Notamacropus eugenii: one gene and its partners. The protein of the gene in region 1 interacts with the protein of each later gene in a pairwise test. Links are inferred from orthologs where the notes say so. Each region holds a gene or a part of one and is shown in the gene's direction. Other genes may lie near its edges.

What was found.
Region 2: the proteins of SGTA (region 1) and SYT4 interact in binary tests that used the Homo sapiens proteins (3 or more experiments, as listed by UniProt). The two-hybrid records come from large-scale screens. The link is inferred for Notamacropus eugenii from reciprocal best matches to the Homo sapiens genes SGTA and SYT4.
Region 3: the proteins of SGTA (region 1) and prostatic spermine-binding protein-like interact in binary tests that used the Homo sapiens proteins (3 or more experiments, as listed by UniProt). The two-hybrid records come from large-scale screens. The link is inferred for Notamacropus eugenii from reciprocal best matches to the Homo sapiens genes SGTA and ZG16B.

What each region holds. Positions count from the first base shown.
Region 1 is NC_092875.1:63,000,488-63,004,238, forward strand, and holds the start of SGTA (small glutamine-rich tetratricopeptide repeat-containing protein alpha), read left to right. Parts: upstream 1-1,560; 5' UTR 1,561-1,645; intron 1,646-2,015; exon of another isoform or gene 2,016-2,136; intron 2,137-2,446; exon of another isoform or gene 2,447-2,521; intron 2,522-3,751. UniProt on the Homo sapiens protein: Co-chaperone that binds misfolded and hydrophobic patches-containing client proteins in the cytosol. Mediates their targeting to the endoplasmic reticulum but also regulates their sorting to the proteasome when targeting fails.
Region 2 is NC_092875.1:331,133,678-331,137,428, forward strand, and holds the start of SYT4 (synaptotagmin-4), read left to right. Parts: upstream 1-963; 5' UTR 964-1,253; coding exon 1,254-1,287; intron 1,288-3,751. UniProt on the Homo sapiens protein: Synaptotagmin family member which does not bind Ca(2+). Involved in neuronal dense core vesicles (DCVs) mobility through its interaction with KIF1A.
Region 3 is NC_092872.1:56,084,851-56,088,601, forward strand, and holds the start of prostatic spermine-binding protein-like, read left to right. Parts: upstream 1-1,471; coding exon 1,472-1,526; intron 1,527-3,751.

The sequences.
Region 1 (3,751 bases):
CATTAGTTTTTCTAAAATGAAAGAAGTTGCCTCAACCTAGGCAGCAGCTGGTAGCCTTACCAAAAGGTTTTCAAGAACTGATGGAAGCTGAGTGCAGATTGAAGATATTTTTGCTTTCTATTTCTTATTGTTGTTGGGGTTTTTTTTTGTGTTTTCTTTCACAGCATGACTTACATGGAAATGTGCTTTACATGACTACACATGTATAACCTATGTCAAATTGCTTGCCTTCTCAGTGAGGGGGATGAGAGAGAGGGAGATGATTGGGAACTCAAAATCTGAAAAAAGAATGCTAAAATTGTTTTTACGTGTAATTGGGAAAAATAAAATATTAAATTTTTTTAAAAAAGGTCTTCGTTGATGTTTTTTAAAGATTCTCTTGACCTAGGTGGACCCTGTGGTGCTGCCTATCAACTCAAAATTCTGTGAAATTCCTCCCAACCATCCAGTGGGGTAGGCTGCTGCTTCTCTTTATGTCCTGTCTTTCATCATTACAATTTAAGCTCTTTGAGGGTAAGTTTCCTCTTCTTTCCTTTTATCTGTGTCCCCAGCACTTAGCCCAGAGCTTTGCTCACATAGTAAGAACTTATAGAACTCTTATGTTGTTTATGAGACTGAGCAAATCACTTATCCTTTGGGACACCCAATTTTCTCATTAGTAAAATGCAAATAATATATTATCTAACTACACAACAGTTGATGGGAGGCTCAAATGGATTAATTTCATGTAATGTGCTTTGCAAATTTCAAAGCTTTACTATGTAAGTATATTAATATACAATATACAAATATACTATACATTTACATAACATATAAATACAAAAAAACTTGAAATAATACTTATCTATTACATGCATTTATACATCAAATATAGATTATATACATATATGTTATAAACGGAAATTATATGGTCTATATGAACACAAAGTATGTCTATATATCATATGATTATAAATTATACAAATGTTGGTAATTTTTAAGAGTATACATTTTGCAAAAGAGGAAAACGAGGTTCAGAGGCTGAAGACCAGAAGGTGCTAGGGAGCAGGGGCAGTTGGTCGTTTGTGTCTGTCCGTCCGTCTGTCTTTGTATCCTTCTTACAGAGAAGGCGCTTGATACGATGCTCTTTGAGTCGAACGGAATTTAGCCTGGAAGGTGAGCTGTCCAAAGTTACAAAGTTACAGTTGAAGTAAGTGGCAGGCACAGGGCGCACGCGAGCAGACGCACGTGACCGAATTCGTCACGGAATAAGAGAAAATGACATCATTCTTTGCGGGGGGGAAAAAAAAAGAGCGGGCGGGGGAGGAGGGGGAGGAGAGGATGGAGTCCTCCCACAATGCAACACTCCGGGCCTCCTTTTTCCGGCCCACAAAACGCAAAGCCTGGAACCGAGACTTCCGGTCGGTGAATAGTACTACAGCCCGGGCCTTCTCTCTGCCTGATCTAGGGCCCGTCGTCATCCGCGCCTGCGCCGCAGGTCTTTAGGCCGAGGCCCGCGAGAACCGCGAGGGGGCGGAGCCGGGCACTGCCTCCGCGCCATCGCCATGGCAGAGGGGAAGAGGTGGGACGACCGGCGAGGTGCGCAGGCGTGGGCGCAGGCGCAGCAGGCGGCGGAGCGGAGTCGGGGGCTCGGCAGCTTGTTAAGGTGAGTGGCGACTGCAGCGCTGGCGGCCGCCGAGCGGCTGAGGGCAGGGAGGCCGCGACGCCCTTCCTCCTCCGCCCCGGGTGTCGGAGCTGTGCGCCTCGGCTGCTCTGCCCCGCGCGGCCGGCTCCCCGAGGCGAGCGGGCGGCCGGCAGGAGGGAGGCCCCGGCCCAGGCTCCGGCTCCTCCGGTGGAAGGCAGTGGAGAAGCCGCGGCCTCTGCAGGAGGGCGAGGGTCCGGGCTCCGGGAGCGGAGGGGCCCGAGGATTGAGCAAGGGCTCATTTTCTCCCGTTTCCCCAGAGTCCATGAATCTCTCTCCTAGGCCCCCCGCCAACCCCCTTCTTTTACAGCGGAGGAGCCTAAGACCCGGAGAAGCTAAGGGACTTGTCCAGGGTCTCTCCCCTCTCCCCCCCCCCCACCGTCCGCATTCGAACCTGGGGCCTCGGATCCCCCAGTCCAAAGGTTTCGCCACCGCACCCAGTCCTCTCCTGTGAGGTAGGTAGGGCCAGAACTGCTCGTAGCGTTAGTGGAGGAAACTGAGGCACAGGGAGAGGAAGGGACTTGTCCAAGGTCATTATTAAATATTAGACCCCTGCCACTTAAACCTAAGTCTAAGGGCTCTTTTCCGTCTTAGGCTCTAATTCACGTTTAAAAAAAAAAAAAGCCTTTCCAGAGATTCTGGTTTTAATAGTTTGCACTGGGCTTAGCGATCGATCCCTCACACTCCTGCTGTGCTTTGAAAGCAAAGCCCCATCCAGGTGTTATCTCATTGGGTGCTCATAGCACCCCTGTGAGGTAGGAGGGCATGACAGCCCCACGGGGCACGTGAGAACACAGAGACTCAGAGACATGAAGTGGGTTACCAGGGGTCACTTAGCCGGTAAGTGGCAGAGCCAGACCCCCAAAAGCTGTGTTAGCTCCCAGTCCAGCGCCATTTCTAACACAGCTGCCGTACTGCCCCAACCAATAACAGTCTGCTGGTCATTTAGTGGAGCTGTGGGAGGGTAGGATTGATTGATGGCTGAGTAGGCAGAAATCAAGAAAGGTCTAAGTGGGATGGAAGTCTTCTTATAGTCAACAGGTTTTGCTGTCTTTTGACTGGCTGAGGGACAGGCATAGAAGAGATATTGATTTGTTTCCAAAAGAAACAAAGGAATTATTTACTCTTTTTATTTGTAAAGGTAGTCAGGGTTAAGTGACTTTGATTTGAACTCAGATCCTCCTGACTCCAGGGCTAGCGCTCTAGTCACTCTACCACCTAGCTGCTCAACTTAGCAAGCCTTCATTGGGCTCCAACTATGGCCCCATCGTAGGATCTTAGAGATCATTGGTTCTGTTCCCCTCATTTTACAGAGAGAACATTGAAGCCAAGGGAGAGTGATGGCACTTGCTGAAGGCCACACTGCTAGTAAGTTTCAGAGCCAGGATAATACGTGTCCAGTGATTATAAATCCACTACTCCTTCTACTACTATGTCATGTCGTGGAAATAAAAAGAAAAAAAAATTCCCTCTCTCAAGGTACTGACAGTTTCAGGAAGGACAAAAGTTAAATTGTAACGATAACAATGTATAATTTGAAGGGGTTATATGGGACAGCGAGGACCACCCAAGGCTTGGCTGGGTAATAATGTTCATGCTCAGTGTCCTGAACGTTTTAGAGAGTAATTGAAAGAGGAGTTCTGACCCTGCTTCAAAAGTTGTATCCCAGAGTAATAATGGATAAAGTTATATTCTCATGGAGTTGTAATAGAACTTTAAGGTTGAAGAGACTCCTAGACGTCCTGGAGTATCATAGATTTAGAACCTTTAGAGATCTAGTCCAACCCTCTCATTTTTTAAATGGTGAAATTGAGGCCACTTGGGCAATAAGCTCCTGGGCATCAGAATTTGAATTCAGGTCTTCTGACTCCAAATATAGTTCTTGACTCCATCCCAAAACCAGGTGACCCTGGTAGCTCTCCAGCCTCCTGCCTTTTTGTAGTCTGTGCATAGAGCTTGTAGGAGCTAGAACACTGGAGGTTGAGTGCTGACTTGGCCTCTTCCAGCTGTCTGAATGTGGGAAAGTAAACTCCATTTTCCTCACTAGGAAAGTGGAGGGTAATAATCCTT
Region 2 (3,751 bases), about 270 Mb from region 1:
TATATATATATATATATATATATATATATATATATATATATGCATGTGTATATATGTATGAGTATATATAATGTATGTACACATACATTTACACACATAGTAGTACATGATTTTTCTTTTCATCTGCAGAAATTTATAACTACCAACACCAAGCTAGATATTTTCAAACTTTTAAGATATTCTTCTTTTTCCATACATTAGCAGTCAGGGTTTATAACCAAATTCATCATCCCTAAAGTTTCTTTAAAATACTCACTGAATTTCATCAAAGATGAAAGGACATCTGGAAGGGCTTTGAAAACAAAAGTGATTATTCCCATCTTTTCCTAAGCACTTTACTAGATGAAATTTCAGATATTAGATAGAATAGGCTTGCAGTGTTAGAATGGAATAGTTGTTAACACTATCACCAGAAAAGTTATGTTGATAACAGGACTGATAGGGAGGGAAGAAGAGAAGAAGGGAAGATGAAAGGGGAAAATCTTGGTAGTTTTATTTTAAATGTGTCAGTCAGCTGTGAATTTTTTTTTCTGACATGTATATTGCTTTGAAGAAAGAAACATGAGAATAAAGTGTGTGTGTGTGTGTGTGTGTGTGTGTATGTGTGTGTAATTGAAATGGATCACATGGAACTGGTTTTTTTTTTCTTTTTTCTTGCCCCTTAATCCCCTCCTTGCATCACAACGCTGACACACTGAGATACGCTCCCACCCACCCATGAAGTCCAAACATTTTATGTTATGGATTGACAAGATTGAGTTTAGGGACTTCTATCTTAGTCTGCTTCTGTGTCCCACTGAATAAGACAGCTAATCTCCTGTAGCAGAGCAGTTAAAATAATTGATGAGTGTGTGTTGAATCCTCTGGAGAAACTAGAGAAAGAAGAAGGGGTGGAGGATAGGGAAAATGGAAGGGGAGGAGGGCAGGTGCTGATTTCAGCCCTGTAGCGTCAGGATTGCGTCAATTTGGGTTTCAACCACGTCTACAATGTAAGAGCGGAGCTACTCAGAAGAGCCAAAACAGGAAAGGGGGTGGCAAATCTCTGCGTGAAGGAGAACTGAACTCCGTCTCTGCTTCCTCAGGCCCCCCCCGCTCCCACTTGCTTGCTCTTGAAGGTCCCCTGGGCTGCACGTTGGTGTTTGCATCACGAGGAAAATCCAGCCTCTCGTTCTGGGAAGAGAAAAACAGTCGCTTTCATAGTGAGGCAAGCCAGGGGTTGCTATTCAGTACCTCGGACAGAGCACGCAGCAAACATGGCTCCGATCACCTCAAGCAGAGAGGAATTTGGTAAGCAAGTTCTTAACCAAACTTAAAAAAAAGGTTTGCTTGTTTGTTTGGTTGTTTTTCTTTGGAAACTACTGCTTGGAGTATACGTTGCCTCTAAAGACTGGGTGTAGGTTAGCTAGCTACTGGTTCCAGAGAACGTGAATGGTACTCGGATAATCTTAGTAAACCCCGTCTGTCTCTTTCCCTTATCAGGTATCCTCCTTGAATACTGCATTCTGCTAAGGTTATTTTACCTTCAAGAAGTTCTCAAAGATTCAGGGAGCTCTGCATATTGTAGTAGCAGCAAAGTGTTCTGATATTTGATTGTTGGTTTTATTTAATTTTATTTGGCCTGATGAGGATTCTTTTCGGATAAATATCTTGCGTTTGTCATTTGAGGGGTGGGGGGTGGGGGCCGGCGGCACAGAGCTTAAAAGCAAATATACACTTAAGACATCCTAAAAAATGGAGTCAGTTCAAAATAATTTTAACTAGTGGGCTTTGACACCCTCATTTTATATCAGAAAGTAACATGATTATTTTATGGCCATATCGTTAGGCTATATTTTCCCTTTTTGTTTCTCCTCAGAAGATATTGCTAGGTAGGATTCAAGGGCAGCATTTCTATCTGTCCCTATTACATCATACCAAATATGTACTGTTTTCTCTTCAAACGCAGCCCCCTTCCTCTTTTAAGTTTGTGGTTCTATTGTATTCAGTCTTTGTGCAATAGGGAAGAATCGTAGTTACTTTTAAAATGATTCAGCTCTGAAAGTCAAATATTCTCATAAAAGTGTGCTAATGAGAGTGAGGATTTGGAGGGGTGAGGGAGCTGTTGTTATCACTGGGTGAACTAGTTTTGTTCTGTTCCCCAAATCTATTCATTCTACCAGTAGGCAGGACTTTGAGTGTACTTATTCTTTTCTATATTGCATTGTATTCTTTAGTTATTTGGTAACAGAATTCAAAGAAGCCCAGGTTTCACTCTAATTGACAGTAATCGCTTCTGTACAGCACTTCCCATTTGGTGCTTTGTAATTACAGTGATTGTGTCCATCACCCATATTTGATGGAAAAAATTAAGTATTTCTGTTAATAAGCCATTATCTACATTGCTTCCCCTCCAAAAAATAACAACTCTATCTTGAAATATAAGTTCTCTTCTAGTTCTAAGTTCAGTGATCTGGTTAATTTAACTAAAATGGTTTAAATTACTTTCTATTTTCCTTGAAATATGAAATAAGTTCTCACACCCCCACTTTGCTACAGTACACTTCTTGGTCAAACAAATTGTGTGTACCTCTTTATTGCTTTGACAGTAAGGGCAGCTTCAAAGCTTATGCTAACTTTGGCTAGTCATGTTCAGTCCTTGACTATTTTTTCTATGCCACTCAAGAATATTTCAGGTTTTACAAATTTAAAGATTAATTTCTCATTTCTAAATGATTCAATTTTTTATATTCCTTTAAATTAATTTTTTTCTTTATTGGACACTTTTGATCAAACATTTCTAATTCGTCTTCATTAAGTTCTGGTTTGTAATTATTGGGAGACGTATACAGAATCCTAAAGAGAAAGAAGCTAGTAAGGAGTATAGTGACAAAAGATCATTCTTCTCAAAGACATTTAAACAAATCTTAACCCTTTGTGTTCCTGAACTTTCCTTCTCAATAAGGGAAGGAAATTTTTAAAAAATATAATAACATAGCAAAACTTAGGTAGCCAGTGCCGAAATCATTATGTTTAACTGTGTGCATTGCTTCTACTGAACATCCATTTTAAATGGACAAACTATCTGGACAGGATAATGCTGAGCTTTCATACATAGTTGCTAATCATTTGTGGGTGAAATATACTTACATACAGAACATGATTACCTTAATGCATAAGCAATGTCACTAAACATCAATAATTTAATACTCTATTCTCAGGAGGAATGTGAATTTGGTTCTGATTACTGTATTGTGACATTGAAATGTATTAAGACAAAAAAACAGTGATGGATAAAATTAAATTATCAGTTACTTTCATTCTTTTTTTCTTTATATGTTAAAAGGAAGCTATTTACTGGAAGACACAGTTCTATTTCTTTGCTGTTTGCATTTGTGTAAATTGTGCTGTTTTTCTCTTTGTAGTCTGGCAATCATTCTAATAAGGGAAGGTTTTAAGAGTAGTAAGTCAATTTTTTTTATTCTTATAAGCTAATTAAATATTTTCTTTCTGTTTTTTCTTTTTCCTTTATTTTTAACCAGTTTGTTTCCATGTTTTAATCTATTATCTGACAGAGAAACTTTTAGCGTATATGACAGAGTACTAATTGCTTTGGCACTATCACTATATTTTGGATTCTAATTAAACTAGTTCAAGGAATTCCTAATAAGTGTTTAAATAATGTATCCTTTGAAACACATATTAATGATGCTTCAGGAAAAAATAACAGGGCATACAATGTTAATGAAGAAAATAATGTAATTGGCACTGACCT
Region 3 (3,751 bases), on another chromosome or scaffold:
GAGTCCAAATCCAGGGTTCTTTCAACTCTAAGAGGATGCATCCCCTACCTATACCTCAGGGCCTAGGGACCACCTCCAAAATGCCCAGAAACCATCAGTCAGGGTCCAGGATAGAAATTTCTCTTGGCAGGGGAAGAAAAGGTGGTCTCAATTCTTTGTTGCCCCTATACCCTCTCTTCTATACAGCAAGGGTCTGTACATACGTAGCACTACACATCCAAGAACATTTCTTAGCTAACTTCAGGTAAGCCCTATCGTCACCATTTGAGTGGCAACTATCATGAAGAGCCCTGAGAAGTCTAAAAGAAAACTTGGAGGGCTCTCTAAGAGGCAGGGCTGGGCTGGGCCAAGCCAACTGTCACCAGAAAGAACTCACACTCATCTAAATAAACAATGGGTAAGTATAAATCTCCTGGGTGAGTGGAGACCAGCAAAGCACTCAGCCCAGAACAGGTAAGGAAGAGATGGGGAAGCAGATGGGCCCAGGATCTGAGGGGTAAGACAAGGGAATGGGAAATGGGAAAGATCAGAAGGGAGAGAGAGAGATGAGTAGCTATAATCTACAGGGGTTCAGAAGCATGGGACAAAATAGAAGGAATGAGTTCCTCAAGATACTAAGTGGAGCAATGGGTACAACTCTGGGTTTAGAATGAAAAAATACCCAAGTTCAAATCATGCCTTAATCACTTGCTAGCTATGACTCTGGACAAGACATGTAACCTCTCAGCCTTAGTTTCCTCATCTGTAAAATGGACAGGTTAGACTTTATAGGCTCCAAGGTCCCAACTCTAAATCTGTGGGCCTGTGATCACTATGTAATCTTTGCTCTATGCAACCATTTCTCCTCCTTTTCTAACTATCTCTCAGGCTAGGTCCACAGGGCCTTATCTCTGGAGGACTAGGGTTGTAATCCTAGCTTTCTGCAGCTTTATGGCATTAGACAAGTTACTCCCCACTTTTGGCTTAATTCTAGGTTTCTAAGGTTTCTTTCAGCTCTAAATTCTATGACATGCCTCCCACCTCTTGGCAGAGAGATGGTGGAATACTGGTGCAAAATGAGGTTTCAGACGTTGATTTGTTTTGTTTGACTCTACTTATTACAAGAGATGGGTTGGGATTCAATGGTATGGAGTGGGTCACAGCAGCAGAGGAGTTAGCAGTTAGTGGCAGAAAGACAAAAAAAGAGCATCAATAAAATATTTTAAATATATAAAAAAGAAGAATGATAAGAAAGAGGACTATTTTGTTACTACCTTATTAAATTTAATAATCCCTCTAAGAATAACTGTGAAAAAGGTACATTTGGATTCAAGATTCATCATACATTTTTGCTCTTTGTGTAGGAAAATGTTTTTATTTGTTGATGGTTGTTAAGTTCATAATTAGAAAAAAAAAAGAAAATTTAGAATGTAAGTAAATAAATCATATTGCCCTATGGTTTTTTGATGCCACTGTATCTTCTTTCCAGACCATGCGATCCTTCCTGGTCCTTGTCCTCTTGGGAGGAATCATCTGCACTTTCCATGGTAAGTCTTGATCCCTCCCTCTTAGAGAGGTCAAGGCATCTTATTCTGCCCACCTTCCCATCCTTCCCATCCACAATGCAACTTAGGAACTGAGGAAAACTTGGGCCACAGACCCCCAGGTTGGACAGCTCCTGCTGAAGGCTTCAAAGAACTGCTCTCTTTCCCCAGGCCTCTGGTTCCTTTTGGCTCTACCTGTTTCACAGCTCTTACAAACTTCCTTTGAATACAAGGGGTCTGAGGATTTTTATGGGATTTAGTGGGGGTAAGGGCCTGGGGTGGAAAGGGAAAGGTTGCAGAGAATTTTCCCTGGGCTTCAGGAAAAGGGATTCCAAGCTCTAAGCTGCTAGTCACCCAAACTGGTAGTGCAACAAGGTGGATCATGTGAAAAAGGTCTTGGCCTGACTAAACAAGGATTTCTTGATAGATCTGCAATGCCCTACCAAGCCATTCCCCAGGGAAACATAGAGTTTTACCCTTGTGGAAAGCAGTAGAGCAGCCAAGACTGGGCAATCAACCATTTCTTTGTTTCCCTATTTTCTAGAAGGGCACTGCACTAGAATTCTATGTACCACACATCAGGTGTTTGTAGTCTAGGGGAAGAATTATTTTTCTAGTTCCAGGAAAAAAACCACTTTCCCCAGTCAGGGAAGGTGAGGGTAGTGGAAAGTAGTTTCATTTAAGGCTAGAAGATAACAGCTTAATCTCAACAACCTTCACTCCCCCTTTCACCAAACATTTATTACACAATCACGGATAGCAAGCAGTCATTTATTAAAGCAAACAAGTAAGATGGAAATCTGGGGAGCCATTCAAATTAGTGTAGGTAATAAAATAAAACAAGCATAAAAGGGCTCTGAGACCCAGGAAAGAGATGAAATCTCAGCTCAAGCAGAAAGAGAAAAATTTCATCCACAAAGTCCACTCTGGGCAGACACTGGGAATCAAATGACATACTGGGGTGCCAGCTCCTCCTCACGTGCCTATGGCTCTTGGGGCCACCTGTTCACTATTCAGAGTTTCCATCTTGCCTCCTCTCTCCATAGTCTCTTCATTCTCTGCTTCTCTCTCAGAAATCTCTCCACCAATCAGGAGTCTTATCTCCCTGCATGCATGCAAAATCACAAGCCTATCCTTTGAAGGCCTGCCTGGGAGTGGGAACACACTTAGAAAGCTTGCTCATCTTTGTCTTCTCCCCCTCCTTCATTCCCAACATCAGATCAACTGTTGGGCCAAGCTGTGATACTCCTGAAATGTCTCCTGTATCCACCCATTCCTTTGCACCCCTACCACTACTTTTATCATTTCTCATCTGGTAATAGCCCCTTGACTGATCTCTCCAATTCTATCCTCTCATCATTTCCAATCCATCCTGGATGCACTACCAGAATAATCTTCCTAATACACAGCTTGAGCCATGTCCCTGCCTTCATCAAAAATGTTCAAAGGTTCCTCATTGTTTACCAGAAAAAAATATAAATTCCTTATTTAGGGGTTCAAGACCTTTCACAGTCTGGTTTCAGTCCATTTTTCCAGTCTTAAAATTCTCCCCTTCACACAATCTGACTCAGTCACCCTGAGTGACTAGCCATTACCTGGTCTTGTCCTGTCTACTTGACTCCGTGCATTCACTCAGGCTGCTCTCCACACCTGGGACTGACTTGTCCCATGCTCATCTCTCCATCTGCTGAAAACCTCTTCCTCAAGATCCTGCTCAGATGCATTCCCTGATAGCCCCAGCAAGAATTCAACTCAATTTAGCAAACCTCTAATAAGTGCCTTCTATGTGCCCTCTCTCTGCCTACTTTCCAAGGCTCTTTACCAAGCACAAAAATGAAATAGTCACTGGGCTCAAAAATTTTATATTGCACTGGTATTGACTTCTTCCTTGAATCTCTCAGGCCTCTATGTTGAGCTTATCTTGGGCACTTGAATCACTTTCCAACTTGTATTTTAGTTATTGCTGAGCTTGTCTCTCCCCCTCCCACTAGACTGTGAGTTCCTTAAAGGTAAGAAACATATACTATCTCATCACTGCATCTTCTTCAGTATGTTGAATGGGATGGAATGTAATTGATATCAGGAGGTTTCTTGAATGTCTTTGCGTATCAGGACACTTTTTGGTATATCAAAAAATATCCGAGATCCCTCATGATAGTAACTGTACCTGATATGCACGTAAAGATAAAATAAAGAGCGGTGAAACTCTGGCTCCTTTCTATAACTCT